2 linked regions of the Arabidopsis thaliana genome follow. The protein of the gene in region 1 interacts with the protein of each later gene in a pairwise test. Each region holds a gene or a part of one and is shown on either strand. Other genes may lie near its edges. The genes, in order: PUP3 and GLR2.9.

What was found.
Region 2: the proteins of PUP3 (region 1) and GLR2.9 interact in a protein complementation assay, tested with the Arabidopsis thaliana proteins (one large-scale study listed by BioGRID).

Annotation. Positions count from the first base shown.
Region 1 is NC_003070.9:9,850,784-9,865,634, reverse strand, and holds PUP3 (purine permease 3), read left to right. Parts: upstream 1-4,066; 5' UTR 4,067-4,200; coding exon 4,201-4,890; intron 4,891-4,966; coding exon 4,967-5,332; 3' UTR 5,333-5,344; downstream 5,345-14,851. Other genes in the region: PUP1 (purine permease 1), read left to right, coding at 1,081-1,788, 3,073-3,435; ATJ1 (DNAJ heat shock family protein), read right to left, coding at 5,658-5,742, 6,175-6,264, 6,587-6,656, 6,737-6,785, 6,930-6,986, 7,543-7,614, 8,048-8,139, 8,537-8,609 and 11 more; FIP1 (FH interacting protein 1), read left to right, coding at 13,335-13,560, 13,646-13,747, 14,160-14,431. UniProt on the Arabidopsis thaliana protein: May be involved in transport of purine derivatives during pollen germination and tube elongation.
Region 2 is NC_003071.7:12,500,574-12,518,266, reverse strand, and holds GLR2.9 (glutamate receptor 2.9), read left to right. Parts: upstream 1-13,322; 5' UTR 13,323-13,348; coding exon 13,349-13,610; intron 13,611-14,235; coding exon 14,236-15,521; intron 15,522-15,652; coding exon 15,653-15,965; intron 15,966-16,121; coding exon 16,122-16,525; intron 16,526-16,611; coding exon 16,612-17,175; downstream 17,176-17,693. Other genes in the region: GLR2.7 (glutamate receptor 2.7), read left to right, coding at 2,374-2,656, 3,675-4,987, 5,101-5,407, 5,728-6,122, 6,228-6,788; GLR2.8 (glutamate receptor 2.8), read left to right, coding at 7,712-7,979, 8,371-9,680, 9,836-10,148, 10,328-10,722, 10,827-11,387. UniProt on the Arabidopsis thaliana protein: Glutamate-gated receptor that probably acts as a non-selective cation channel. May be involved in light-signal transduction and calcium homeostasis via the regulation of calcium influx into cells.

The sequences.
Region 1 (14,851 bases):
GACGGGTAAAGAAATTACAGAACAGATTTTATTTTGGAATTGGGTTATATGGTGGATGTATTTGAATCAATATTTAAAAAATTTTAAAATATTATTAATATGCTGTTTTAATAGGGGTTAAAACTTCAGTTTTTTAACAATTGTCTCATTGATTCGTGATATAGCGTTACTTAACAACAATTATAAACTGTAAAATGTAAATATTTTATAAAAATAAAATTTGCAACTTTTAATATATATTACTTTTACAAAATAAATCGTTCCGCGGTATACCGCGGGTTAAAATCTAATTTGTTGATGTATTTAGTATCCTAGCGGGTAGAAACCTTGTTAAATATAGTGGTGTAGAAACCATAAATTGAATCACTTCTTTCAAGCCAACGACTGACTACGCGAGTTCAACAATGGAGCTATAAAAACAAAACAACTAGTTGCAACAAATAATAATCAAGTCTACAAACAAAATAGCTTAAGTCAGCATTCCATGTATTAAAGCATATGACAAAATGATTGATTACAATAGTCCGTAAACGAAGACAAATGGATACTAAAGATAAATTTCTAATCAAGATAACTTTTCTATAACAATATCCTCATCTAAAGATAAAACCAAGTATAAAGATATTTCTCTTAAATCACGTCTGTTTTTTCTTCTCGAAATTTTGTTTTCTTGCTTTTTATACACACAACGAAAATTTAGCGTAACACAGAGAGACGATTTGTTTTTTTCTATCTCCACAATTCAACTCTTTCTTTTGTCATACTCAATGTATGTAGAGCAGAAAATAACACGTCTCTTTTTTTATCACGATAAAACAAAGGACCATCCTTAGTTGGAAATTCAAACCCTAGTAGTAAGTATAACGTTTTAAAATCGCAAACGCGCCCGCTATGTTATGTCCCACCGTTTTAATTTCCCAACTTCCTTGACAATGTATCACACGATCCAAAACCACAAACAAACAAAACACACACAAAATGAAAAACATATAATTGCTCATTGACCCCTCAAGCTGATGAGAAATATCATCAAAAAGGCCAAAACAGAGGACAACAAAAACAGCAAGCAGCAAGAAGAAGATGAAGAATGGTTTGATAATCATAAACTGTATTATCCTCACTATAGGAACATGTGGAGGTCCTTTGTTAACTCGTCTCTACTTCACCAATGGCGGAAAACGAATCTGGTTCATGAGCTTCCTATCAACCGCTGGTTTTCCAATCATCCTCATCCCTCTCTTGGTCTCCTTCCTCAGCCGTCGCCGCAGCAACCGCAACCCTAACAACGCGGAAAACAAGCGGAAAACAAAGCTCTTCCTCATGGAAACTCCTCTGTTTATCGCCTCCATTGTCATAGGGTTGCTCACAGGACTTGACAACTACTTATATTCTTACGGATTAGCATATCTGCCAGTTTCAACTTCATCGCTCATAATCGGAACTCAACTAGCTTTCAACGCTCTCTTCGCTTTCTTGTTAGTCAAGCAAAAGTTCACTCCGTTCTCCATAAACGCCGTCGTTTTGTTGACGGTTGGTATCGGGATCCTTGCGTTACACAGTGATGGAGACAAACCGGCTAAGGAGAGCAAGAAAGAGTATGTGGTTGGGTTCTTGATGACTGTGGTTGCAGCTCTTCTCTATGCTTTTATATTACCGCTCGTTGAGCTAACTTACAAGAAAGCTCGTCAAGAAATCACTTTCCCACTTGTGCTTGAGATTCAGATGGTCATGTGCCTTGCTGCTACTTTTTTCTGTGTCATTGGCATGTTCATCGTTGGAGATTTTAAGGTAAGAAATTTACAGTTTTTTTCACGTTGTGTTTTTAGTATAAGAGAGAGTATCATGGGATGATCTTGATAAAAAAAATATTATGCAGATTTTGATGAAGACTTTAGCTGAGTTTTTGGATTCTCTATTTTTAATGTTTTTCTAAATTATATAGTTTTTTTGTTCATTTTATGATAGAGGCCAAAATTTAGTCTGGATTCCCAAGAAATGAGGAATACTAAGATTTGTTCTTTTGTATTATTAATGGAGAAAATCCATGGAAACAATTATATATATAGAAATTATTTCAGAATCATTGGTACTAGACTATACTAGTCAACCAAGATATATTGGTATCTGTATTTAAACATTTTCTAAATACATATGGATATTATAGAATATTTAACAATTTTAATATAGATTTCCTGGTTATAATAAAATATGTGATTTTATGTAATATTTGTCTTCCTGATCTTTTATTAAAAACAAATATTATATAAAATACAAGATAAAGGTTTGAGCAATTTATAAAATATTTAACAATTTCAATAAGGTTTTATGTAATACTAGGTAATCACCCGCGCTACGCTGCGGTATTTTCAGATTTTTTGTATCGTATAATTTAAATATAATTTTTAATTATCTAATCATTTACTTATGTAATAAGTAATTATTCTTAGTATTAAAATATATTTTTTCTAACAACATTCTCAACAATGCATTATACACACAATTCCTAAACAATGTTCATCTTAAACTAATTAAATAGAGGGTAATACTGGAATTCTCGAAACCTAAGAATTTGATGATTAAATTTCTTACATACTCTTCACCCTCGGCGATTTATTATATAGATATATAACAATATGCAAACTATTCAAACTATTAACTAATCCATGACTACTATACACTCATAATTTGAGTTAAGATTACAGAAAAAAATCTTCTGAGTATGAGAAAACCAATAAAATTATTTTATTGAACAACATGTAATAACAAAATAAATTTAGTATTAGTACAATTAAATATGTAAAATTAAATAATAAATACATCATTAATCTATAAATTAAAAGTTGAAAGCTTACATTAATTATTATGTGGACACATGGCACATGTTAAAGTGATGATGTGTCAATCATATGGAGAGAGTTGGCCAACTTTCATATATATGATTTGTCTTCCTTATCTTTTATTAGAAACATTATTTAAAAATTGTTCAAACCTTTATCCTGTATTTCCATATCTATTTAAAATTATGATTAAACTTGAGAATCAACTAAAATCATCATCATACATGTTTTGTAGGTGATAGCAAGAGAAGCAAGAGAGTTCAAGATTGGAGGATCAGTGTTTTACTATGCATTGATAGTGATCACAGGAATAATATGGCAAGGTTTCTTCTTAGGAGCCATAGGGATTGTGTTTTGTGCATCATCACTAGCTTCTGGTGTTCTGATAAGTGTTCTGCTTCCGGTGACTGAAGTTTTCGCCGTCGTTTGTTTCCGGGAGAAGTTTCAGGCAGAGAAAGGTGTCTCTCTACTTCTTTCTCTTTGGGGATTTGTCTCTTACTTCTACGGCGAGTTTAAATCCGGCAAGAAAGTTGTTGATAAACCTCAACCGCCGGAGACAGAACTGCCTATTCTTCCTGTTAGTGATTATGTTGCTTAATTTCTATAACTCTATAGGATTATAACAGAGCATTACTGTTATGTTTTGTTCCTAATATTATGTGTGATTGTGTGTTTTGTTATTGTTCTTGTGTATAAGTATGAATAAATTTGAAAGATATTGAGCTATTTGATAAATGCAAATTTTAATACACTTGTAGTAGAAATAGAATGATAATGATAAGTAAAAGATAGGATATTTCGTATTTGATAAAATCACATCCTATTTATCGATTTTATAAAATAAACATTTCACACTTTTAATTTAAGATTAATATAATTTATCTATTTAATATAAAAATTTGTATATAAATCAAAGAACTAATATAGAAAGAAGAAGAGAAAACAAAAGAGATAGAGTCAAAGAACCAATTAACCATCCTTAAAATCTTCTAATTATAGAGAGAATTATGAACTGAAAATCTTAATGTCATTGCACTAAATTTAGAAAGAAATAAATCCAATAATCAAAACTGTAGAATTTGATGGAAACGTAAATTAATATGAGAGATATGATATTATCTGGTCTATAAGATAATTACTACGTTTTTTATACGAAATTAAACAGTTAGCAAAATTTATGGGTATAAAATAGGAAAAGTCATGTTTTAGCCATTGAAGCCTCGTTAGGTAAAAAGAAACACAAAGATCTATCACGACAGAATCTAAAACCGGACCAAATTTGTTCCAAAACACAGCAACACCAAACCTTATAACTAACTCCTTCGACCACCAACCTTCATTATCCACAAGAAATCAGACAAGAATGGTGAAGGCTCTTGTGATCATAAACTGCATAATTCTAGCCATAGGAAACTGTGGAGGTCCTTTGATTATGCGTCTCTACTTCAACAATGGCGGTAAAAGGATTTGGTTCTCTACGTTTCTTGAAACTGCAGGCTTTCCTGTTATCTTCATTCCTCTGCTCTTCTCTTACATTACCCGGCGCAGAAGCAACAATGTGGGTGATAGTACAAGTTTCTTTCTTATCAAACCGCGTCTTCTTATCGCCGCTGTTATTGTAGGCATTCTCTCAGGGTTTGATAACTACTTGTATGCATATGGTATAGCTTATCTTCCAGTTTCTACAGCTGCTCTTATCATTGCTTCACAGTTAGCTTTTATAGCTATCTTCTCATTCTTCATGGTTAAACATAAGTTCACTCCTTTTACCATCAATGCTGTTGTGTTGTTGACTGTTGGTGCTGCGGTTTTGGGAATGCATACCGAAACTGATAAGCCAGTTCATGAGACTCACAAGCAGTACATAACTGGTTTCTTGATTACTGTAGCAGCAGCTGTTATGTATGCTTTCATCTTGCCATTAGTGGAACTTGCTTACCAGAAAGCTAAGCAAACCATGAGCTATACCCTTGTGCTCGAGTTCCAGTTGATTTTGTGTCTCCTTGCTTCTATTGTCAGCGTCATCGGTATGTTCATCGCTGGTGATTTCAAGGTTAGTCACTCTTTTGAATCTGAAAACATACAAAAGAGTTTTTAACAGAGACTTGAGCCCTTTACTGTTTTTGCAGGCCTTACCAAAAGAAGCAAGAGAGTTCAAGCTTGGAGAGGCATTGTTCTATGTGGTGGCTGTGTTTTCAGCCATCATATGGCAAGGCTTCTTCTTGGGAGCCATTGGATTAATCTTCTCCACATCGTCTCTCGTCTCGGGTATTATGATATCAGTGCTTTTGCCAATTACAGAGGTTTTAGCTGTTATATTCTACCATGAAAAGTTTCAAGCTGAGAAGGGACTTTCTCTTGCTCTCTCCCTTTGGGGCTTTGTCTCTTACTTTTATGGTGAGATAAAGTCTGGCGAGGATAAAAGGAGAATTCAGCAGGAGGAGAGTCAGGAGACAGAACAATCTTCTTTGTCAAGACCCATAAGTGAGTGTTAAAACTCAACGAAGCATGGCTTTTCGTTTAAAGACATCATAGCACTCATTTCTCCGCCAAGTAGATTAGAAGATATGTTTGAGAAACTTGTGGGATTATGCCGAAAACACAATCTTAAAGGACTTTTTTTTTTCTTTTCTTTATTTCAGCTTAACTTGTTTGATGTCTCTTATTATTCACATCAAATGAGTTTGTAATAGAATTATGAGGTCAAACAATGACACTCTCTGTTATGCTGGTGAGCTTTTTGTTCTACCAGCAATAGATGAAATTAGTCTTCATTTGTCTTCTGTTGAATGCTTTTATCTTTCATCTCTCGTGGTGGCTTCATCCCATTAACCTGCTCAACAATAGCGCCAGCAGCACCATTAACGAGAAGTCGCGGATGATCTGAGGACCCGTTAGATTCCACCTGTAAGTTCAACCAGTAGAGAGCTTCTGGTAAAGCCTGTTTGGTTCATATTCATGATTCTTCATTACTATAAGGAACAATCGCTAGTGAGGAAATAACATTCAGTTGAATCAAAATGTAAAGAAAAAGCCCCAACAGACATTTTGGCTTTCTTACACTGTTTCCCTTAGAGCTTCTAGTTATTTCTTATAAGAGAACCTAGGTATCTCATTTTTCAATTATGTCTTGTTGTTATCTACATATCCGCCTTTTCTAACTCTTATTTCTAAGCAGGCCTAGAAAATGTACCAGTAATGTATAAGCATCACTAATTCTTCTATTGTAACCAACTACATTCCTTTGAGGTGAATTATACCAGATGTCCATTTACGTCTAACCATCTAATATTACACACAATATGCTGTTATAAACACAATAATAAAATTTACTTACCAACTTCCTTCAGCAGAGTCGCTCAACTCATTGTTGATTTCTTCCTTTGCAAACTCTTCCAGTATAGCACGCTGACGTTCATTCACTTCACTAGTAGATACAAGGAAAAAAGTAAACCGCATAAGCATATACCAGAAATCTATCAATATTAGCTCTTGACGGAAATGAAAAGAAGAGAATCCAACACATCCACATGCCACCAGAACATCAAGAAGCTTATGTAATCAGATTTAATAATCAGACGGCAGGGAAATTAACACAATGTTGTCCTAGGAAAATTATTTCAAAAACCGTAACTTTAGAGCAACAAAGTGTCTTTTCCATTCTAAACACTAGTAGAGTTTTTAGCATAGCATAATGTGGATGTCTCCAACAAGTGTATTACTTGAACTTCAAGTAAAAGAAATCTTACGTAGGAAAGTTAACGCGGAAGCGAACATACTGATCTCCATGATCTACAAAAAAGCCTTGCTTCGGTAGTCCTGCAGGAACTAACCTATTAAGAAGAGTACACGCAAATACACAAAAAAAATTGAACATATAGGCTGATAATTATATGTACCTTTGCCTCTTAAAACAAGAAGTTGATCAGGCTGAGTCCCCTTTGGTATCTGCAACAATTACAATAAGGTACCTCTATTATCTCCAAAGCCTTGAGATCTAACCTTCCTCTTGGTCAGAGGATGAAAACCAACTTGACTCAAATTATAAACAAACAAAATATTATATGAATCTCACTGGGAGACGAATCTTACATCTAGCTGTATCTTGCCTGAAAGTGTTGGCACCACAACTTTGCCCCCCAAAATAGCCTGTCAAATAAGTTTTCTAAGACATGTCCAGTATGGCTCAAGGGAGAAATAGTAGGAACAACGTGAACCATAAGAGATGAAAGGATGCACTATAATAGAAAAATACTGCAGCCGAGGTACTATGGCTTGGTGGCAAAATAGTGCAGTAGCATGCACTTGAGTTTTATGACTGGGGCCATCAAATTGAGTTTGAACCGATATGCCACATTATCTAGTTTAGAGAATAAGCGCATCATATACATAATGATAAAGATGCTACTAGCTAATATTATTAAACCTAGTAGTTTAGTAAACTTTTGGCACATAAACCAGTTGAATAGGACAAAACTCATTAATTTTCAGCTAGACTCCAGATAACTTTTCTCTAGTTTATGTCCTCTAAGAGGTTTTATTTTATCATAGGACATGCCTAAATTATGTTACTGCAGAGCTTTATCAGCTAGCAGTTAAGGCTTTTGAGTTTTGACCACAAAGTGTCACCATGCAGAAAAAACATGAGTTTCGAAGGTACTGCTCTGCTTATAACCCAAAATTCAGGATTCACCAGTGTGCTTACTTGTGTAAAGCTAATATTAGCATCCACATATATATCTGAGCCATCCCTAGTGAAAGTTGAATCATTAGCAACCTGTGACCAAAAGAAGATTAGATACGTGTCAATAAAGGAAAATTCAGCATGCAGTAAGACCCTAAATGAGGCAAGAATGATGATAGAATTGAAGAATACTTTACAAGAGAGCATGAACAATTGATTCACTGGATGTAATAAGTCTTGATTATATAGTGACGCAACAAACAAAGTAGAGTAGCAATCACATATAAATCTGTGAACATTGGTTTAGATCATTTTTGAAATGAATTCGTTCAAAGTCAATATATGACTTATAACATGACTTTGCCACTTATATTAACTGTTTTATCTCTTAGGTTAAATTGATCAATGGACTTAAATGGTAGACCAATCATCAACGTCAAGGGTGAGTTTGATTCAAACTTCTCTAGGCACGTCTTACAAAATATACAAGTACAAATTTGAAGAAAATACAGATGCTTTAACAAACCTTTAGTTTGATATACAAGTTCCCAGGTTGACTTGTTCTTGAACTTACATTACCAGCACCTACGATTGTGATTGTAGCTTCAGACTCCACCCCTGTGGTCAAGTACAGAGAGAAGAAAGCAAATTAAAGTTTGACAGAATTTTGTCATCAAAAACCTATTTCACTATCTAATCCACCAAAGTCATGTAAGATGATAATCGGAAATCACAATCCCAAATTCATTGTTTCATCTTTGCCCCAAAATACCAAGCACAGAATTAACCAGAAAATGTAAATTGCCAAGCATAATCTTAGAAAAGAAAAAGAAAAGCCAGTCAAACAATAAGTGTGACCGATATCTAAATTGGATTACATCTAAACCACACAAATCCTCAAAGAAAGGAACGTAACAGAGTGAATGAAATCTTGCTACTCGTTCCATAGCAGACAGACATGTTTGGAATCAAAACCAAGTTAAAGATAAACAAAAGCATGAAGATTTAGACTAACCTCCAGGGATCACAAGTTCAGCTGTCTTTGTGCCTTCCACAATACCTGATCCTCTACAAGACATGCAGTATTCCTGAAGAAATAAACACATATATACTCGTAACCAGTGCCAGAGAGATAACTACTGAAGCGTCAATAAAGTAGCTCTTTTTCTCAAACCTTAATAATGTGTCCCGTCCCCTTGCACGTCTGGCATGATGCTGTAAAAGGAGGAATAGTTACCTGTTAAAGAGACAGACAGCATAGTACTGTAAATAGAAATTGTATGATTTATTAACCCTCCAAAGAAAATAAAACTTATATCCTCTAAATGGTACTTACTCGTCCAACCCCCCTGCATGTTGGACAAATGCTCATGGCAGCATCGCTAGGGTGGCCAAGCCCATCTGTAAAATGATAAACAATGCGAGATTGGGATTCATGGTTTTGCAACAATATTACTTTCACCCAACTGAGTTTACTCGTCCTCTCAAAGTTGGCTGAATCAGTAACTTTTTAAAGACAGAAGGCTGTAAATGTTACAAGAATAAAATTAAAAAAAGAAAAAAAAAAAAGAGACAACAAACTGTAGATACATGTACATTAACATCGATGGATCACAGAGCCATTTCCAGAAGTCTATTCTTCGTTAAGAAAAATATTTTACCATTTTGGGCAACTGAATAATAATGTACCATGACGAGTTAGGACTCCTAATTTAAAGTGTCTATACTCTCAAGTATCTTTACAGGAAATCTTGCGAGCCATGACTGGCTTGTCAATATTAGTAAATGCAAAAGAGACAATATAAGAAAACTTCTGTGGCCACTCACCACAGGAATCACAAAAGACATATGCATCAAAAGACAAACGTTTTGTGCACCCTTCTGCAGCTTCGGAAAGAGAAAGCGACAGTTCCACCTATTCAATTTTTAACAATATAAACATGTGTATTACTGAAGAGCCCTACACAACAAGATTTATATAAGTCAACCAGATTCCAGTTGTATAAATAAAAGAGAGAATCAGAGAAACTGACCCGAATATCAGGTTTTATCTGATTGTTCTCAAATATCTGAATAAAGTTTACTAATGTTAGAGATTTAACTAATCACATAAAAAGATGAGCAAAAGGGAAACATAATAATGTACCTCAGAAAAAATCTTGTGGAAAGTATCCGAGAAATTGGACTGGTATGCACGTCTGAACCTCTCTGAATCACCACCGTCATTATTTACATAATCCGAATTCCGATACTGCAGCTGGATCGAGTGATAACATCAAGAAATATATTTAGTGATCTCGCCACCAGATAAATAAGAATAAAAACAACAAAAAAGCGTACCTTATCATATTCTTCTCTTCTTTCCGAATTTCCCAGGGTCTACAGTTTTTTAATCCAACACAAAAGTATATCAGAAGATACATTCAAAATACACAGATGATGGCAGATGGAAAAGAAAAAACTACCTCATATGCCTCTCTTATTTCCTGGAACTTCCTTTTTGCTGACGGATTATTTCTATTTGTATCAGGGTGGAATTTTTTCGCAAGCTGCAACAATTGTGCATTCACTCATCAATTTTGAGCAGACAACTTTTACTAATAGTTTTTGCTTGATGTAAAAAAATGTTTAAAGCTGAAGAACAGTCCACTAACAATGAGCCGAAAGACTCACCTCATGAAATGATTTTTTAATCTCCTCCCGTGTAGCTTTAGGAGAAACACCGAGAACATCATAGTAATTACGAGCACTGGAGTTGTTTATACCTGAGAACCATTATCCAAAACCAAAAGCATTTAATGAATAAAATGATACAAAACATCATTTTATTCATTAGCGTGAATGCAAAAAAACAAGACCTGTAGCGTGAATGTATCGCTCGAACAACGGCTTCTGAGACCCTGCAAAGAGTCAAAACTTCCAAGTAATGAATGCATATTTCCTATAGTCTGTAGATAAACACAAACATCAACTGGAAATTCCCTCATGCCCCTAATGTTAGCTACCACGGAGACCTCGAGATTACATTTCGATTCTTTAAAATCAACTCTTGAGTTACCTTTAATAGTGCCCAATACTTTGATACCCCTTCCTGATAAACCCTAAAACCCCATTTCAGCTAAAATTATCACTACATTAGAAATTCTAATAAACCCCAAAAAACTTGACATTGTCGTTGGTCTGTTGCATATACACCTAAATCAGCTCAGAGAAGGCGATAAACCTCGAAGAGCATATGAATGTCAGTTTTTGATTCCTTTTTGAAACAAGCAAAAATTGACGAAATCAATAACCCTAGTTTAACAACTTTTATACATTACCTTGACGCAATCCGATCGCGGAATCAAAAGTTCTTCGAGCTTGTACATGCCGCAGAACCTACGATATAAACATAAATTACAAAATGATTTCAGCTCTCTCGAGGACTCAATTTCAAAATTGAAAGGAAGAAGAAGAAAACGATGAAGCTAAATCTAGAGAGGGATGAAGAAAACAAACCCAGTTGAATCTTCGCATGACTCTTGTGAATTCAAAGCTAAACAGAGAGGAAAAAACGGAGAGGTTTTTGATTTTGAGAGTTAAACCCTTAGACCATTTCCATGATAAATTCCAAACAAACATAAATCAAAAATATTAAAATAATAATTTTTTAATCAGTTTTTTTTAGAATATTTTCTGAAATGAGAAACTTGGAGAAATTTTATCTCTCTTCCAAATGTCATCTTGTCATTAATTTCTTTTCTTTGTTATAAATAAAATCATTTATATTTTATAACATCAATTAAATACTTTATATGTTTATTTTTTTTTTTTTTTTTACTTTTAAAATTCATAAAATTAAATTATCTATATAACAAGCTCTATTATATATATGTTTAAATTATATACGAATATTATTTAATTGGTGTTAGTTAAGCATTAAACATAATAATAACTTATAAATACAATAGTTTTTTTTTAATTAGAAAACAAACATTTAAAATTTTCTATTTTTATTTTACAACATTTTTGGCAATCGAATTCGACTTCGTGATAGAGATATGCACCAACAACTAAAAGATGACCTAGTTGAGCATATATGACAAAAGTTTGGTGCATTATCAAATGAAGAGTAAAACCATAATAGATAATATAGTTAGTTTTGATTTATGTTATCATGGTTTTATATGTAATTTCTGTGTAATTTATATATTTTTTCTATTTAATTTATGTTATCATGGTTTTATATGGAATTTTATGTTTAATTGATATATTTTTTATTATGATTTTATATGTAAAGTAATGTTTAATTATGTTTAATTATGTTTAATTATGGTTTTAAAAATAATAAAACTATTTAATAATATAATTGTAAAAATAATAATTGATATGTTTGAAAATATTGTAGAGATTTTAAATTTAATATAAAAAACATATAATAATATGTTAATGTTAATGAGATACTCATAAGAGTATTTCACCAATGGAAGCACAATTTTAGTATAAGTTTCTCTACTTAAATTAAAATATTAATAATATATTATGAGGTACTCATGGAGTATCTCACCAATGGAGATGCTCTTACGCATATGCTGACGAGAGACGAGAGAAGAGACGTTCGCTAAATCTTTTGCTTTCTCGCCACTACGTCCAGAGTCTCTCTCTGGTTCAGAAGACTCGAAATGGGTTAAACACGTATTCTCTCATTCTCCGTAGTTAATTAATTTAGTGAAACGGTAAAAACAAAATGGTAAAAAATTGGCGGTCGTTATTTTGTAGCGGTAAAGAAAATAGTGAGTTAGACTATTTACAAGTTAACTGTTTGAATTAAAAGTTGAAAGTGATTTGGAAAAAGATGTTGTAGAATTTCTTCAACACCGTTAATTTTGTGAATAAAATCCTTGTACACATATAGTCTTAGAAAATTTGGAAAAAGGTTTGATAAATGTAACTTAGATGCTGCTTGGATTATAAAAAGTAAGCTTTATGGATACGGACTTGAGTTCCCAAGATCATTTAGGTTCAATCTGATTTTGAGGTTTATATAAGAAGCTTCATTTAAACCGTTGAGTGTTTGAGCTATATGAAACTTCAAAAAAATGTCATTCGTTTAAATACCATCAAGAAGAATGTGAATCAACTTTTCTTTTTGGATGAAAACTAGTTTTTTGATATGGTAACTATGTTTTCAACACAACAAAATTTTATCGTCGAATGTCCGAAATGATAAAGACACTCTTAACCTTCATCGGAAAAAATAGCAATTTTTTGTGGTATATCAATAGCGGTTACAATCTAACTTGTTTTGTTGTTGTTATTATGATTAGAACTGTCAATTGGGTGGACCGCATGTGGGTTTTTACAGTCCAAATACACACGGACGGATTATGGTCTGGACTCCAAACTAAAAAACATAAACCAAGCAATCAAAAAGTTAGAATAAGATATTTTTTAGTTAAAACAAAAATCGTAAGTGAAGAAGGTCTGAATTTCTTGAGGAAGATAAACGGGCACAAAACCGGTGTACATACATGGATTATGGATATGTTCTAGAGGAAAGGTATAATTGAATACTAGTATCCGTTACAGAAACTAATTGCATTAAGTTTCGTCTACTGTTTAAGACCGCACGAGATATATATGTTAGACCGACTTTGGGAAAGAGGCTACTTAAATTATTTACGATTAATAATGCCAACGTAACGCGGACAGACATTTTAATTCAATTATTATTTGTTGCCTGCGAGATTCGAACCATCTCTTATTTCATTACTTAACCCAAACCAAAAAAATAAAAAGTTCATTTCGAAAGAAGAAGAAGAAAACATCAAATCATGAGTGGGCAAGAGAATCATGATCATGGCCGGATCTCTTCTACGCCCGCCGCCGCGTCGGAGCCTTCCAAGGCTGCTGCTCACTCCTCTGACTACGCTCCTTACCCTAAGCTCGATCCTACCGACGTCACTCCTCCTCCTCCTCAGCCTATTCCCACCGGTGCCGCCGCAACCACCATGCCAGCGGAATCCAATCCTTACGTTTCTCCTTCCCCTGCCCCAAGGAGTGAGTTCTTCTTCTCTCTATCCGATTTCGCATCCTAATCCAATTTCTGCCTTTGATTGATTGATTGATCTTGGTTTGGGGACAGATACGATGGATTCGGTGAAGGATACGTTAGGGAAATGGGGGAAAATGGCTGCCGACGCCACCAAGAAGGCGGAGGATCTCGCCGGAAATTTTTGGCAGCACTGTAAGCGCTTCTTCTTCTTCTTCTTCTTCCCCCTCGATTAGATGAATTACCAATTAATCTGATTACCGTCTCTTGGAGAATACGATGGTATTGGTTATGCCCCTTCTGGTTAAGTTAGTGTTCATCAATTGGCGCTTCTTCGGAATTTTACTTCGCGTTCAACCACCGACACTAAATCTAGCCAACAATTTTGATATTCATGCTCTTCCGTTTGAGTTTAAGCCAATTAGTTCTTTGTATCTGGTTATTGCCTTTGACTCTTGAAGCTTCTCTAGTATAGGTTGTTTTGGCTTTATTTCTCCGCTTGTGTGATGAATTAGTATTATATACATATGGTTGGAGGGAGGGATGATATTTTATATGAATTGAGACTTGAGAGTATACGTTTTGATATCTATCCTTTCTTTTTCAGTGAAAACAGGCCCAAGTGTAGCAGATGCTGCTGTTTCACGAATTGCTCAGGGGACAAAAATACTTGCAGAGGGTGGATACGAGAAGGTCTTCAAGCAAACATTTGATTGCCTTCCTGATGAAAAACTTCTCAAGACCTATGCTTGCTACTTGTCTACATCTGCTGGTCCTGTCCTGGGAGTTATGTATCTTTCGACTCACAAGCTTGCGTTCTCTAGTGACAATCCTCTCTCTTACAAAGAGGGTGAGCAGACCCTGTGGAGCTATTACAAGGTATACTCGCTCTCTATCCTATGGTTACTTTTTCTTTCTAACTCTTTTATTTTATATCTATTTACATCTAAGAAAACTATTTGAGAACAAAGATTCAGCGAATGTAATATTTGATGGTGACATGATAAAGCGTTAAGTGAGTTAAGTCATTTTCAATGCATCTATTTACATAGATTCATAGACTATAACAAATTTTCTTGTCATTTCTAGTTATTGACGTATAGAACGTAGTGTGTGTACGCTTATAGTAAATGGAAACTACATAATCATTCTAACGATATTGTTGAGTAGTTGCATGTTAGTTCCTATGTAGACAATTAGGACTTTAGTGGTTTGCCTAAGAGAGTAAGCTAAATCTTGTAGCATTCTTGATAAAACTAGGGGAGCCATTGAATAATTGTTAGTTTGAGAGTTTGGACT
Region 2 (17,693 bases), on another chromosome or scaffold:
TGGTGGGTCTTAATTTTTAACGCAAAGCCCCACCATTTTCACTTCATTTATGTACCCTAATAAATAATTCACGTAATCCTTTTGAAGTTCTGTTTTGGAACCAATGATTTGGAATTTATGAAAAGAATCGAGTTCAACGAAACATGTAAGAGTATTTTTGTGGATTTTCTCTCTAATACCGTTTTCTTTTTTTTTTTGTCACATCATCCATATGTTTATTTGTGAAATTTCGATAAACGATTAGATAGTGGCTGTATATGATTTTATTATAAGAGACTTCCGCAATGTTGCAAGGAAAAGTATTCTAAAAAAAAAAAGTAGTACTCTAAATACTTTCTGATATAACTTAAGACTTTTGTTAAAAATTTCAAACTCAAAATGATGCGTATCATTAATTCTATAGTTTTAAGAAGAGAAAATATAGGATATATTTAAGAAGACAAAAATGTTTACATACACAAATGTGATTGTAAAAGTCACATCTTACTCAAAAAGTAATAAAAAATAAAATAAAATAAAAATATATGGAGAAAAAGGACACGAATCTATATAAATAGATGCAACTTTTTTAAAGGGGGATTGACAAAAAGGCACTAAAAAAACTCTCCTTTTGACGGGCGATGTCTCAAGGGAAATCTTGAATGTGACTCAAAGCGAAGAGATGAAACAGCTCGAAAAGATTTGGTTTGAGAATCAAAATTGTCCTCATACAGACAACATTGTCGTCCCACCGTCTCAACCTTAATAGCTTCTGGGGTCTGTTTTTAATAGCAGGCCTTGCTTCAGTCATGGCACATCTCGTCTTCATAGCCAACTTCTTGTACGAACATAGGCACACGCTAAATGAGGAATCGAAAATTTCCTTTTCCAGAAAGCTAACATTTTTGCTTAGAAACTTTGATGAAAACGACAGAAAATCGCACATGTTCAAGGAGAGTGCAATTCATAATGTGAGTTCACCTTTTAGTCAAACCACTCCAAGACCTTCAACAGTGCAGATCACACCATGACCACGAAGTCCGTCGCAAAATATGCAGTTTGAGCCAAGATGTGTATCTTTTGAAAGCAAAGAATTTTTCACTCCCCAATTAGAATGTATAGCTAAATGATAAATAGAATTTCAAAAGTTGTTGAAGCATTTTGATTACTTAGCTAATTTTACTGACTTATTTTCATATTTTTGTGTGTTAGTCTCTTCTCAAATCTATATATAACCCATGATATACTCTATATTTAGCACTTTATCATGGTTATTAAGATCCATTTTATGGTGTTTCATTAGTATTTTCATTGTGGTTTGTTGCATTTAGTGTCCAAGTGAGTCTTCTTGCATTTTAGAAGTCCTATAGTTACTGTGTGTATTTTGTGTCTCTTTTGAGATATTTCATGTTAAAATAATGGAGGACACACATTTAAATGCAAAGAAGAGAATTGATGATTCATAACCTATCTGAAGTCTCTCAAAGATCGACTCGGATGAAGTTCTTTCATTGAGATTTAGCTTTGGACCTCTTTATAATGGTTATAGGAAATTGAAATAGATTTCCAATGGAGGTGATGTTTCATGGGTATGTGAGCTATTGGTAGAGATTTATGGCTGATTTTCGTATACATATGTCAATCTATCGCAGAAAAGAAACTCATCTAGAAACCTCTCTTAAAAACGGACAGAAGCTTCTTCGACCTCCACCTTCGGCCCCAACACCACCAAAGCCCCTCTCCGATCACCATCGTCGTCCATGACACAACCGAAGCCATCTCTTTTTAGCTTTGATCCAAATTGCAACCGGGTTGTAACCCGGTTTATCTCGTCGATCCGGTCAGAACCTATTAAGCAAATTTTAGACATTTGTTAATAATAAAATTTTCACTACAAAAAAAATAATATAGTAATTTTCCAAAAAGGTTTTTGGTTCGTGTTACATTTTCTGAGATGATCCATCAACTTACAATTGGCATTTTCTTTCTCTCTCTCTCTTAGTAGGATATTCACTAGCGTAAAATCACTCGATTATGACCTTTTATGTGTATGAAACGGTCTTGCTAGCTGGAAGAAAAATATTAATCTTCCGTCAAACAAGTAAGAAGACTGAAGTTGGAGATTTTTCAAAGTAAACGTATGTAGCCTAAAAAAAAGGAGTGACAATGGTAGAGAATAATGACAAAAAGCGAGCTCATATTATCGTCCATACAATTTTTTTCTGTCACTTTCAAACCTTAACTTCGTTTGTTTTCTTTTACATTCTTGTTTTCATATTTTATTTTATCTCTATATATGTATATATATATATGTATGTGTGTGTGTGTATATATGCAATAGAACAATAAAAAAGAAGAGGAAGTTAAAGAATGACATAAAGTTCCTCAATCTGGATGAAAGTGATGAACCCTAGAAAAACTAATAATACCTTTATGTATTACTTTGTCCTGTTCGTTTGTGGTTTTGTGTTGATGGAGGGTTGTTTAGGACAAAACCAAACAACTGAAATCAAAGTAGGAGTAGTGCTTGATCTCCATACTTCATTTTCCAAGCTCTGCCTCACTTCCATTAACATATCGTTGTCCGATTTCTACAAATATCATTCTGATTACACCACGAGACTTGCGATTCACATTAGAGATTCCATGGAAGATGTTGTCCAGGCCTCATCTGCAGGTTCGTTCCTTCTCTGTCTCTTGCATCTTTATTTGGATTTATTATCAGTTTATGTTGATTGTTGGATGAAACATGTACGCTCTACTTAATTACGAATATAATACAGCGTTTGGCCAGACATGATTTAATATCTAAGGGCTACTATTTTCTTTTAGTCTGACCAATCTTTTCCATGGCTTCAAAATTTAGGCTATTTCCATATATAGTAGCCATATATGCATAGCTATTATCAACCTTATTGGGTTCAGACAAGCAACTACAATATCTAATTTAACAAAATAAAACGTTTCAGTAGCTATGAATTTATGCCGGTAATCAATTCCTAACTATTTATTTTAAAACAAACTAAATAATTAATGATGAACATGGTAATTATTATTTTCCCCAAATTTGCTACAAATCTATGGTTTGGTAGAAATTTGTTTTCTACTAATTTGAAGCAATTCTTGTCACTTTTTTTGTTTGGTTGTTTGACATTTATGTATGACGGATAAGGATTTTGGTGCTACTGGGTTATATGTCAAGTGGCGAACGGACTCTAACAGTGGGTGGTGAAATGAGGGTCTCACACTAAAAGATTAATCAATTATTGATTTCCTGAATAGTTTAATTCGATAATTTGATATATTATTGTTTATTAAAAGTTTAAAACTAAAATAGAAAAAATAAGATATGACTTTCCGTAGCATATGGATGTGGTAGTAAAATACAATTAACTTTTAACATTACGTTGATAGTGTGATTAATGATTTTGGACGGAAAATAGGTTACAAAGTAGCATCTTTTCAAATTAAATTTTGCAATATTTTTATAAAATAATAAACCATAATAAAGTGCTAAATATAGAGTAAGACACATTTGATATTTTCATTTTAACTCATGCGTAAACATTATTTGTATGATAATTTTAATTCACTCATTAGTTCCCAAAAATCTGATAAATTTTAATTTACTATTTAGTGATAAATTTAACCTCTATAATTTTCTTATTCTATTTGTTTGCTTGTGGTGCAAGCAGCCTTGGACCTAATCAAGAACGAGCAAGTGAGCGCCATCATCGGGCCAAGAACCTCTATGCAAGCTGAGTTCATGATAAGACTCGCCGATAAATCACAAGTACCGACCATCACATTCTCTGCAACATGCCCTCTTCTGACATCCATCAACAGCCCTTACTTTGTCCGAGCCACTCTCGATGACTCATCCCAGGTCAAAGCCATTGCGGCCATTGTCAAATCCTTCGGGTGGAGAAATGTAGTTGCCATTTATGTGGACAACGAATTCGGAGAAGGAATATTGCCATTATTGACTGACGCTTTACAAGACGTGCAAGCTTTTGTAGTCAATAGATGTTTGATCCCTCAGGAGGCTAATGATGATCAAATTCTCAAGGAGCTTTATAAGCTAATGACGATGCAGACGAGGGTATTCGTTGTCCACATGCCACCAACTCTCGGTTTTCGTTTTTTTCAGAAAGCTAGAGAGATTGGTATGATGGAGGAAGGATATGTATGGTTATTGACAGATGGAGTGATGAATTTGTTGAAATCTAATGAACGCGGTAGCAGCTTGGAGAATATGCAAGGGGTTTTGGGTGTAAGGAGCCATATCCCCAAATCGAAGAAGCTCAAAAATTTCAGATTGAGATGGGAAAAAATGTTTCCTAAGAAGGGGAATGATGAAGAGATGAACATTTTTGCGTTAAGGGCATATGATTCGATCACTGCCTTAGCAATGGCCGTGGAGAAAACCAATATAAAGAGCTTGCGGTATGATCATCCGATCGCTTCAGGAAATAATAAGACAAATTTGGGGACATTAGGGGTCTCTCGCTACGGTCCAAGTCTTCTTAAGGCTCTTTCGAATGTAAGATTCAATGGTTTAGCCGGAGAGTTTGAGCTCATTAACGGGCAGCTAGAATCATCAGTGTTTGACGTCATCAATATTATTGGAAGTGAAGAGAGAATTATTGGATTATGGAGACCAAGCAATGGAATTGTTAATGCAAAGTCAAAAAACACTACGTCGGTTTTAGGGGAGAGGTTGGGGCCGGTGATATGGCCCGGTAAGTCGAAAGATGTTCCGAAAGGTTGGCAGATTCCAACAAACGGAAAGATGCTTAGAGTGGGCATTCCAGTGAAGAAAGGCTTCTTAGAATTTGTGGATGCAAAGATAGATCCGATCAGTAACGCAATGACCCCAACGGGTTACTGTATTGAGATATTCGAAGCTGTTCTTAAGAAGTTGCCTTACTCCGTCATTCCTAAATATATTGCTTTCTTGTCTCCAGATGAGAACTATGATGAAATGGTATACCAAGTATACACCGGGGTTAGTTCGTCTATTTCTACTATGGTTCTTTTACTTTTACTTTAACTTTCACCGTGGATCATGTCTTTTTTCTTTATATGTGATTTCTAACATATCATTAACATTCGGGTCAGGCCTATGACGCAGTTGTGGGAGATGTAACCATAGTAGCAAACAGGTCATTGTATGTCGATTTCACGCTACCGTACACAGAGTCTGGAGTGTCTATGATGGTACCCCTCAAGGACAACAAGAACACATGGGTGTTCCTCAGACCTTGGAGCTTAGACCTATGGGTCACCACTGCTTGCTTTTTCGTATTCATTGGGTTTATCGTGTGGATTTTAGAACATAGAGTCAACACCGACTTTCGCGGACCGCCTCACCACCAAATAGGCACCAGTTTTTGGTTCGCTTTCTCCACTATGAACTTTGCCCACCGTAAGTAACATCAATCAAGAACTAAGTCGGAATAGCCTAGTGGTATTTGTTCGAGTCTTAGTTTATTCTTCTTTGTGGGATACCGCTAGGAAACGAGTCCCATCTTCTATGATCATCATTAAAGTTCAACCTTGGTCACTATAGAAACTTTTAACCGGCAAGATTTCCGACTTTATGTTACAAAAATTGGCAGATGATGAAAGAACTCTAAATACGGTTTTTATATAGTAGATATTGTATCTCAAATTATTATCAATAAGATGTTCCAAAATAAGAAACAAGATAATAATGATATACTTACAACTTGTTTGCGTGTATAGGTGAGAAGGTGGTGAGTAATTTAGCGAGGTTTGTGGTGTTGGTGTGGTGCTTCGTGGTGCTTGTGCTGATTCAGAGCTATACAGCGAATCTCACATCTTTCTTCACAGTAAAACTGTTGCAACCAACGGTTACAAATTGGAAAGATCTCATAAAATTTAACAAAAATATTGGGTACCAACGGGGCACTTTCGTGCGTGAACTTTTGAAAAGTCAAGGATTTGATGAATCACAGCTCAAACCTTTTGGTTCTGCCGTAGAATGTGACGAGCTTTTTTCCAATGGGACAATCACAGCATCTTTTGACGAAGTGGCCTACATTAAAGTTATCCTTTCTCAGAATTCCTCCAAATATACTATGGTTGAACCATCCTTTAAGACTGCTGGTTTTGGCTTTGTAAGTTCTTTTACCCTTACACTAGATACAGCCAAAGAAGTACGTATATTGATGATATAGGTATTTTCATTGCTTTGATTTTCTTCTTCCATGATCGTTGTGTAGGTATTCCCCAAAAAATCACCTTTGACGGATGATGTCTCAAGGGCGATCTTGAATGTGACACAAGGCGAAGAAATGCAACATATTGAGAATAAATGGTTTAAGAAACCAAATAATTGTCCAGATCTAAACACTTCTCTGTCCTCCAACCATCTCAGCCTGAGTAGCTTCTGGGGTCTGTTTCTTATAGCAGGCATAGCTTCATTCTTGGCACTTCTCATCTTCGTGGCCAACTTCTTGTACGAACACAAGCACACGCTCTTTGATGACTCCGAAAATTCTTTCCGTGGAAAGCTAAAATTTTTGGTTAGAAACTTTGATGAGAAAGACATAAAGTCGCATATGTTCAAGGAGAATGCCGTTCATAATGTGAGTTCACCTATTACTCAAGGAAGTTCAAGCCCTTTGACCGATCAGAGCACTCCATTGCCGCGAAGTCCGGAACAGTATAGGGAATTAGAGCTAAGAAGAGTGTCTTCCATCTCGAGCGGTGAACTTTTCACTACGCAATCAGAACAAGTTGAAGATGAGGAATCTGCTATAATTCAATGTGAAGGTGAATGATAGAGAGAAGTTGCTAAAGTGCATAACAAGTTAGCCAGTGTGGTTAATGCTTTCTTTTAGGAGTACTTTCTTTTCTCAACACTTGTATTCCTATGTTTGTTTTCAAACTCAATGTCATAGTTAGATTTCTGAATTTGGATTCTAATCTTCTTCCTTTTTGAGTTATATAAAAATTAGGGAGATTATGAAAATAACGCAAAATTTTATAATCTGCAAAATAACACAAAAAACTATTAATCTTTTGACATGGATGTCTTTCTCGATCTCATTGTTTTGGAAAAACCAAATGTTGACAAAACTAACATTTGTTTTGGATCTGCCCACATTATACGTCTTCATGTCTCCGAGACGTGTAAGAAAATGTGGTCCTCCAACAGCCAATACATTGTGTTTGATGTGAAATATGGCATACCCAAAAACGCGTTGAACAAACGAAATTTGTTTTAATACAAATATCCTTGCACTAATAATATGATAAAATAATATATTTTTTTAAATTACTCTTGCACTTAAAAGAAAGAAAAACACATTGTGAAGTTTCAAGACAGAGTTAGCCTTCATAACGGAATTGTTAGGCAATCTTTCCAACTGAAGTACAAATTTTAACTTGAATCATCACGAACCATGTACCTCAATGATTAAGGTAGTTATATAACTCGTATAATAGAAATTTTGTAGCCTTGCTTTGCCGAGAAACATCTTCGGCAATGTCTCATGACTAAATCAAACCATTTTTTATTTTTTTCTAGTCAACACTAATCTTTATTATTTTATCACTCTTTTCTTGATGAGTACCAATTTTGTTATAGCATTGTAAAGTCTTCCAAGACCTTTTCAAACCTATTTATTTCCTCTGTATTTATAACAGAAAAAGGGAAGTTTTAGAGAACCACATAACTTGTCTGTCTCCTTATCTTTGGATAATGATGAACCCTAAAAAAAACAATAACACCTTTCTGAGCTACTTTGTTTGTTTGTTTTTGTTGCTCGAGGTTGGTTTAGGACAAAACCAAATAAGTGAAATCAAAGTAGGAGTAGTTCTTGATCTCAATACAACATTTTCGAAGATCTGTCTCACTTCTATTAACCTGGCGTTGTCTGATTTCTATAAAGACCATCCTAATTACCGCACAAGACTTGCGCTTCACGTTAGAGATTCCATGAAAGACACTGTGCAGGCTTCAGCTGCAGGTTTGTTACTTTTATGTCTTTTGCTTCTCCGCTACTTGTAAGGGATCATTTGGATTTATTAATTATTAGTTGCAGTCGGATGAAATATATTACGTAGGATCGTCTTTGGTAAGAGCAATCTCTTCATTTTCTTTATTTTCTAGAAAGTCTTACTACTATTCCTAGTAGCCTCTTTAAAATATTTAATTCATGAGTTATTATAGTATATTAGAATAATAACTAGTCAATGACTATTGGTAACATGTCATGTGATACCTATACAATGAAGATTTGAATTCTTGTGCAAATTATTATTGTCTCATTAATTATCATCAAATATTAAACTACTGCTGTTACATTTAGTGAAATACTAACATGTTTTTTTTCTTTGGTTTGCTTGTGGTGCAAGCAGCCTTGGACCTAATCCAGAACGAGCAAGTGAGTGCCATCATCGGACCAATAGACTCTATGCAGGCAAAGTTTATGATCAAACTGGCCAACAAAACTCAAGTACCGACCATCTCATTCTCAGCAACAAGCCCTCTTTTAACATCCATCAAAAGCGATTACTTCGTCCGAGGCACTATCGATGACTCATACCAGGTCAAAGCCATTGCAGCCATATTTGAATCCTTTGGATGGAGAAGTGTCGTCGCCATTTATGTGGACAACGAGTTAGGTGAAGGAATCATGCCTTACTTGTTTGACGCTTTACAAGACGTGCAAGTTGATAGAAGTGTGATCCCCTCGGAGGCTAACGATGACCAGATTCTAAAAGAACTTTATAAGCTCATGACGAGGCAGACTAGGGTTTTCGTTGTCCACATGGCATCACGTCTTGCTTCACGGATTTTTGAGAAAGCTACAGAGATTGGGATGATGGAGGAAGGGTATGTATGGTTAATGACCAATGGAATGACTCATATGATGAGACATATCCATCATGGTCGTAGCTTAAATACTATAGATGGCGTGTTAGGTGTGAGGAGCCATGTCCCCAAATCGAAAGGGCTCGAAGATTTCCGTTTGAGATGGAAAAGAAATTTCAAGAAGGAGAATCCATGGCTGAGGGATGATCTTAGCATTTTTGGATTATGGGCGTATGATTCAACCACTGCATTGGCCATGGCCGTGGAGAAAACCAACATAAGCAGCTTTCCGTATAATAATGCGAGTGGCTCGTCAAATAACATGACAGATTTGGGGACGCTACACGTCTCTCGCTATGGTCCAAGTCTTCTAGAGGCTCTCTCGGAAATAAGATTCAATGGTCTGGCAGGAAGGTTTAATCTCATAGACAGGCAGCTCGAGTCACCAAAGTTTGAGATCATAAATTTTGTCGGAAATGAAGAGAGAATTGTCGGATTTTGGACACCGAGCAATGGACTTGTGAATGTAAATTCAAACAAAACAACGTCATTTACAGGGGAGAGGTTTGGGCCATTGATATGGCCAGGGAAGTCTACTATTGTTCCTAAAGGATGGGAGATTCCAACTAATGGTAAGAAGATTAAAGTGGGTGTTCCAGTAAAGAAAGGCTTCTTCAACTTTGTGGAGGTAATCACGGATCCTATCACTAACATAACAACTCCAAAGGGTTACGCCATAGACATCTTTGAAGCTGCTCTTAAGAAGTTACCATATTCAGTCATTCCACAATACTACCGTTTCGAGTCTCCGGATGATGACTACGATGACTTGGTCTATAAAGTCGATAACGGGGTTAGTTTCTTGTTTTTCTTAAATAAAATCTAAAAGTGCAAGCAATTCTATGTAAAAGCAGTTAGCAATGAGTAGACTGAACTAGTCTTAGATATAATAGATTATGTCTTTTTATAATATATTAGATCTCTAACAAATTATTAAAAATGAAACAGACTTTGGATGCAGTTGTTGGAGATGTAACCATCACAGCGTACAGATCTTTGTATGCTGACTTTACCTTACCATACACAGAGTCAGGAGTGTCTATGATGGTGCCGGTGAGAGACAACGAGAATAAGAACACATGGGTGTTCCTCAAACCTTGGGGCTTAGACTTATGGGTCACCACTGCTTGTTTCTTCGTCCTCATTGGTTTTGTTGTGTGGTTGTTCGAACATAGAGTCAACACCGACTTCCGTGGACCGCCTCACCACCAGATCGGCACTAGTTTTTGGTTCTCTTTCTCCACCATGGTTTTTGCCCACCGTAAGTTCTTACACCAATAATGATAAATGTTAACTTTCTTTTGAAAACTATATTATGTAAAATGAGACTATTGTTACATTGTTTATATATTAAATGTCAACTTATTTTCAATGTGATAATTTTTTTATTAACAAGAATCAAGATCCTAATGATGAAGTAATTTGTGTGTGTGCATATAGGTGAGAAGGTAGTGAGCAACTTAGCAAGGTTTGTGGTGGTTGTATGGTGCTTTGTGGTGCTTGTGCTCACTCAGAGCTACACAGCAAATCTCACCTCTTTCTTGACGGTGCAACGTTTTCAACCAGCGGCCATAAATGTGAAAGATCTCATAAAAAATGGGGACTATGTAGGCTATCAACACGGGGCTTTTGTTAAAGATTTTCTAATAAAAGAGGGATTTAATGTTTCTAAGCTCAAGCCTTTTGGGTCTTCCGAAGAATGTCACGCGCTTTTGTCCAATGGTAGTATATCAGCAGCTTTCGACGAAGTTGCTTACCTTAGGGCTATCCTTTCTCAATACTGCTCCAAATATGCCATTGTTGAGCCTACATTTAAGACTGCTGGTTTTGGCTTTGTAAGTTTCTTTTTTTTTTCCCTTATATATGAAAATTTCAAACTAGGAAAAAAAAAAAAAGACAGTTCGAGTATTCATTGCTTGTTTCCTTGATCAATGTGTAGGCATTCCCCAGGAATTCACCTTTGACAGGAGATGTCTCAAAGGCTATCTTAAATGTGACTCAAGGAGATGAAATGCAACACATCGAGAACAAATGGTTCATGAAACAAAATGATTGTCCTGATCCAAAGACCGCTCTTTCGTCGAACCGTCTAAGCCTTCGTAGCTTTTGGGGTCTGTTTCTAATAGCAGGCATTGCTTCATTCTTGGCACTACTCATCTTCGTGTTTCTTTTCTTGTACGAAAATAGGCATACACTATGTGATGATTCCGAAGATTCGATATGGCGTAAGCTAACGTCTTTATTCAGAAACTTCGATGAGAAAGACATAAAGTCGCATACTTTCAAGAGCAGCGCTGTTCATCATGTGAGTTCACCTATGACTCAGTACATTCCGAGCCCTTCAACTTTGCAAATCGCACCACGGCCACATAGCCCATCACAAGACAGGGCGTTTGAACTAAGAAGAGTGTCATTTACCCCGAATGAAGAACGGTTAACTACGCAAACTATACATTTTGAAGATGAAGAATCTGATATTGAATGTGTTGTTGAACAATAGAGATAAGTTTAGAAGATTCCATAACAAGTTATAGATAGGATAAGCTAAGTTCGCTGCATATATTCCTAACAAAGCTATTATTCTTTTATTTATAACAAAGTTTATATTAATAGGATTGCATTGCAAAAATATAGCAACTCTAAAAACTTCATATGTACATAGTGGCAAGTGACTTTAAGGAAAGTTCCTAGTTCCAAATAAACGAGGATAACTATTCGCATCCATTCCCAACCAGGGTCGTGAAAGAGGGCTCTGGTCATTCATGATCCATCCACCATGCGTGATTCTTACATCTCGGCCAAAAGATCCAATAATTTACTATATCATTATTTGCAAATGCTCATAGCTCTACAATATCACAATCTCAAGCAAGAAGAAGCGTAACAGAGGAAGAAAGATAAAGGTACACATAGTTATGTAAAAGCAATCACTGCCTTTCACGAAGTGGTTGTCCTTTAGCGAAACCCTCTCTTCGAATTGGAGACTTTTTTAGCTTTATAACCCAAGCTAAACAACTCAACGTCCTCCAGTTACCCTTTAATGACTTAAATCGGACCAAATGCATTTCAATTTAATCAATTCTTCAACACAACAGAATTTTAAGAAATTAGACTATTGTATATCAACCATAAAAAATTGTTTATGTCGTCATCACCCACGTAAATGTAGATTCTTCAGTTATATCCAAAATCATGTACTGTAATTTAGGATTAATGTATTTTCATTGTTTTGGAAAAAATAATGTTGACGAATATTTGTTTTCGATTTGCCCATATTATACGTCTTCTTGACCTATTCTCGAACATGCGTAAGAGAATGTTGTTCTACAACGGACAATCATATTGTGTATGGCATAGTTGAACAAACTAAATCTGAATAAATCCAAACTAAGAAAATTCCGTTAATTTCCGACTGCTCGTAAAAAATAAAATTAAAAATCTTGGAGGGAAACTCACTTCACTTACCCTATATTTTTTAATTTCTGTATGCTAATTCCACCAAAGTACACATATCTACAAGATACACTCTTCTATAAAACATTTATTTATTTTATAGTAGTACGACAATTTTTGATACATTTTATTTCTAAGAATTCTTTAAAAACGGTTCATTGCATTTTTTTGCGTTAATTGTATGGACATATCTACATATATAAGCTATTTTTAGTGTTTTTGTGTGCAAGCATATAATTATTCTCAACCATTTTTTTTAATTTAATCCTATTACATTTCCCAAACACATTTTTGCTTATTCTTATTCTCTTTAAAACACATATATTTCCAAATATTACCTCTAACCTATTTCGATTATTGTAATTCCTATTGCAAAACACATTTGAAAATTCTTAAAGTTGGCCAAAACAATTATTAAAAAATTATAATATTTAAATTTACCATTAAATCTGGATAAAATGTATATATTCTTTTTATATAAGAAAAGCTTACAATAGTATTTATCTCGTGCATTAGCATGGGATGGATGTATAAAACATTAGTTTTTTTCTTCAGAAAGGCTATCCTCAAAAATAGATCTCAAAAAGGGTTAAGAATCTTATTTTGCACAATTAACTCTTAATTATTTCAATTATGATATTATAATATGTCAATTACAATACTAAAAGTAAAAAAAAGAAAGAATTGCGATCCTTATATTTTATAAAATAGACGATTTGGTTATTTAATAAGTTATGGGTATTTTGTAGTTTGCTTTTCAAAGAGAATTCATCTGCAAAAGCCTCATTTGACTCTTTCAAACCAGTTTTATTAATTTCTAGTCAACACACTTTTTTTTAAAAAAAAATCGATATGTCTCTTTCGTTGAGAAACCAATTTTTGGCATAGTATTTCAAAGTCTTTCATTGATTATAAGTATCTTTCAAACCGATCCTTCCACTGTATATATATAACAGGAAAAAAGTAAGTTAAAGAATCACATAAAGTCTCCTCAGTTTTGGGGCGATTATGATGATGAAAACTAATAACACCTTTTTGAGTTACTTTGTTTGCGGTTTTTTGTTGATGGGGGTTGGTTTAGGACAAAACCAAACAAGTGAAATCAAAGTAGGAGTAGTTCTTGATCTCAATACAACATTTTCCAAGATCTGCCTCACTTCTATAAAGATGGCCGTGTCCGATTTCTACGCGGATCATCCAAATTACCTCACAAGACTTACGCTTCACGTTAGAGATTCCATGGAAGATACTGTTCAGGCTTCAGCTGCAGGTTCGTTACTTCTCTATGTCTTGCTTCAGCTTCCCGTCATTTTGATTTATTACTTATTAGTTGCGGTTGAATGAAACATATTACGTATAGACATGGTTTAGCTAATTACTATTTTATTGAATGTGACCAATATTTTAGATCAGTATTAAAAATCAAAGTATCATATGGGGGTATATGCTAAGAGTCTTGGTGACGATTTATCTTTTAGACTATACTTCAAAAACCAAGTGTATTCTTATGTGGTCTAATGTCTATGGTAAGAGCAATCTCTTGATAGAGAAGTCCAATTTTTTTCTCTTCTAGAAATTCATGGTGACGGTTGTATGGTCGCAGAAATCCTGATTACTATTAGTCTCGTTAATTATATTTAACTCATGAGTCTTAATATATTAGATGAATAGTCGAAAACTATTGGTGACATGTCTTATGATACCTCTACAATTTTAACTATTTATGTAAATTAATATTGTCTTATTACTTTGCAACTAGAGCTCTTTTGGACTCGACAAACATGGCTTAGCCTTATAAGTTGTAACTCTTCCATTGAAAATGGAAGATATTATATCCAAAAACAGAGGATATTTAACCTTTCTTCTTTTCTTTATGTTGCTTGTGGTGCAAGCAGCCTTGGACCTAATCAAAACCGAGCAAGTGAGCGCCATCATCGGACCAATAAACTCTATGCAAGCAGATTTTATGATCAAACTGGCCAACAAAACTCAAGTACCGACCATCACATTCTCTGCAACAAGCCCTCTTTTGACATCCATCAAAAGCCCTTACTTCGTCAGAGCCACTATCGACGACTCATCCCAGGTCAGGGCCATTGCGTCCATTTTCAAATTCTTTAGGTGGAGAAGGGTCGTCGCAATTTATGTGGACAACGAGTTTGGTGAAGGATTCATGCCTTTCTTGTTTGACGCTTTACAAGACGTGGAAGTCAAGAGAAGTGTGATCCCTCCGGAGGCTATCGATGATGAGATTCAGAAAGAACTTCGTAAGCTCATGGAGAGGCAAGCGAGAGTATTTGTTGTCCACATGGAATCAAGTCTCGCTTTACGGGTTTTTCAGATAGCTAGGGATATCGGGATGATGGAGGAAGGGTATGTATGGTTAATGACCAATGGAATGACGCATATGATGAGACATATAAACAATGGTCGTAGCTTAAATACTATAGAGGGCGTGTTAGGTGTGAGGAGCCATGTCCCCAAATCGAAAGAGCTCGGAGATTTCCGTTTGAGATGGAAAAGAACATTTGAGAAGGAGAATCCATCGATGAGAGATGATCTAAACGTTTTTGCATTATGGGCATATGATTCAATTACTGCATTGGCTAAGGCTGTGGAGAAAGCCAACACAAAGAGCTTATGGTATGATAATGGGAGCACCTTGTCAAAAAATAGGACAGATTTGGGGAACGTAGGGGTCTCTCTCTATGGTCCAAGTCTTCAAAAGGCTTTCTCGGAGGTAAGATTCAATGGTTTGGCAGGAGAGTTTAAACTCATAGACGGGCAGCTCCAGTCACCAAAGTTTGAGATCATAAATTTTGTCGGAAATGAAGAGAGGATTATTGGATTTTGGACACCAAGAGATGGACTCATGGATGCAACAAGTTCAAACAAAAAAACGTTGGGGCCAGTGATATGGCCAGGGAAGTCAAAAATTGTTCCAAAAGGATGGGAGATTCCAGGGAAGAAGCTTAGAGTGGGCGTTCCAATGAAGAAAGGCTTCTTTGATTTTGTTAAGGTAACCATAAATCCGATCACTAACAAAAAGACCCCAACCGGTTATGCCATAGAAATCTTTGAAGCTGCTCTTAAGGAATTGCCATATTTAGTCATTCCTGAGTACGTCAGTTTTGAGTCTCCAAATAACTACAACAATTTGGTCTACCAAGTATATGACAAGGTTAGTTTCTTTTTTTCTACTTACAAACAAAAAATTCTAAACATTCACAAAATCATATTGTAAACCATTTCCCTAATTTTATGTCTTTTAGATGTTAGATTTATAACACATTATACTAATATATGAAGCAGACATGGGATGCAGTTGTTGGAGATATAACCATCACAGCGAACAGATCTTTGTACGCTGACTTCACGTTACCGTTCACAGAGTCAGGAGTGTCTATGATGGTGCCGGTGAGAGATAATGAGAATAAGGACACATGGGTGTTCCTCGAACCTTGGAGCTTAGAGCTATGGGTCACCACCGGTTGTTTCTTCGTCTTCATTGGTTTTGTTGTGTGGCTATTCGAACACAGAGTCAACACCGACTTCCGTGGACCGCCTCAGTACCAGATCGGCACTAGTTTATGGTTCTCCTTCTCCACCATGGTTTTTGCCCACCGTAAGTTCTTACACCAATCAAGAATCTAATAATGATAAATATTTACGTTTTGTAGCTTTTATCTCCAAACATAATTACATTGTCAATATTTTTTAGATATCTCAACTTATTTTATGATTGTAATGATAAAGTGAAAACTTGTGCATGTGTATATAGGTGAGAATGTAGTGAGCAATTTAGCAAGGTTTGTGGTGGTTGTCTGGTGTTTTGTAGTGCTTGTTCTCACTCAGAGCTACACAGCGAGTCTCACCTCTTTCCTCACGGTACAAAGTTTGCAACCGACGGTCACAAATGTAAACGATCTCATCAAAAATAGGGATTGTGTAGGGTACCAAGGTGGTGCTTTCGTTAAAGATATTCTATTAGGGCTAGGATTTCATGAAGATCAGCTAAAGCCTTTTGATTCTGCCAAAGATGCCGACGACCTTTTGTCCAAGGGGAAATCAAAAGGTATCGCAGCAGCTTTCGACGAAGTTGCTTACCTTAAGGCTATCCTTTCTCAATCCTGCTCTAAATATGTCATGGTTGAACCTACATTTAAGACTGGTGGTTTTGGCTTTGTAAGTACCTTCTGTTTCCTTTCTATGTATTTTTACAAAATAAGGGGACAAATAACACATGTTTTGTTTCCATGATCAATGTGTAGGCATTCCCGAAGAATTCACCTTTGACGGGAGAATTCTCAAGGGCTATCTTGAATCTGACACAAAACAATGTAACGCAACAAATCGAGGACAGATGGTTCCCGAAAAAGAATGATTGTCCTGATCCAATGACCGCTCTTTCGTCCAACCGTCTCAACCTCAGTAGCTTCTTGGGTCTATTTCTAATAGCAGGCACTGCTATATCTTTTTCATTACTCGTCTTCGTGGCTCTTTTCTTGTACGAACATAGGCACACTCTAGGTGATGATTCCGAGGATTCCTTGTGGAGAAAGCTAAAGTTCTTGTTCAAAATCTTCGATGAGAAAGACATGAATTCGCATACTTTCAAGAACAGTGCCATTCATAATATAAGTTCACCTATGACTCACAAGACTCCGAGCCCTTCAACTGTGCAAATCACACCATGGCCACAAAGCCCATCACAAAACAGAGAGTTTGAGCTAAGAAGAGTGTCATTTAGCCCGAGCGAAGAACGCTTCACTACGCAACCGATAATACATCATGAAGATGGAGAATCTGATATTGAATGTCGAGTTGAACAATAGAGATAGATGTTTTACAAAACTACATTAAGAAGTTATAGATGATTATTTACCAAAAAAAAATTATAGATTCTTCCATGAAAATTAATACGATTTTATTTATTAAATTGTTATTATAGATTTATATAGAATTCATCTTTCAGTGCTTGCCTACTCAATATTTGAAAGAAGATACATCAAACGCACTTCTATTAATTAAAGTTTGTGAAGCAAGTAACATCAGAACAGAGATGTCTACAAATAAAAGTAAGAACATTTATATTCTTATAACAATATACATAAGACTTAATATCAAACCCAAAAAGAAACAGAAAAAGAAAAAAGACTGACGACGATAACTTAAGAAAATTTCATCATTATGCGATCACCGACCAAAGATGAATAGATGATTATACGAATAATATTAAGACTTTTAAAAAACGAAGGGAAGTTTCTTAAGGAAGAGGAAACGTTGAAGTGTGAATAACTGAGGAGTTCCAGCGAAGCGGCTACTGCATTTTGCAGTGATCTGAGGTTCGTAT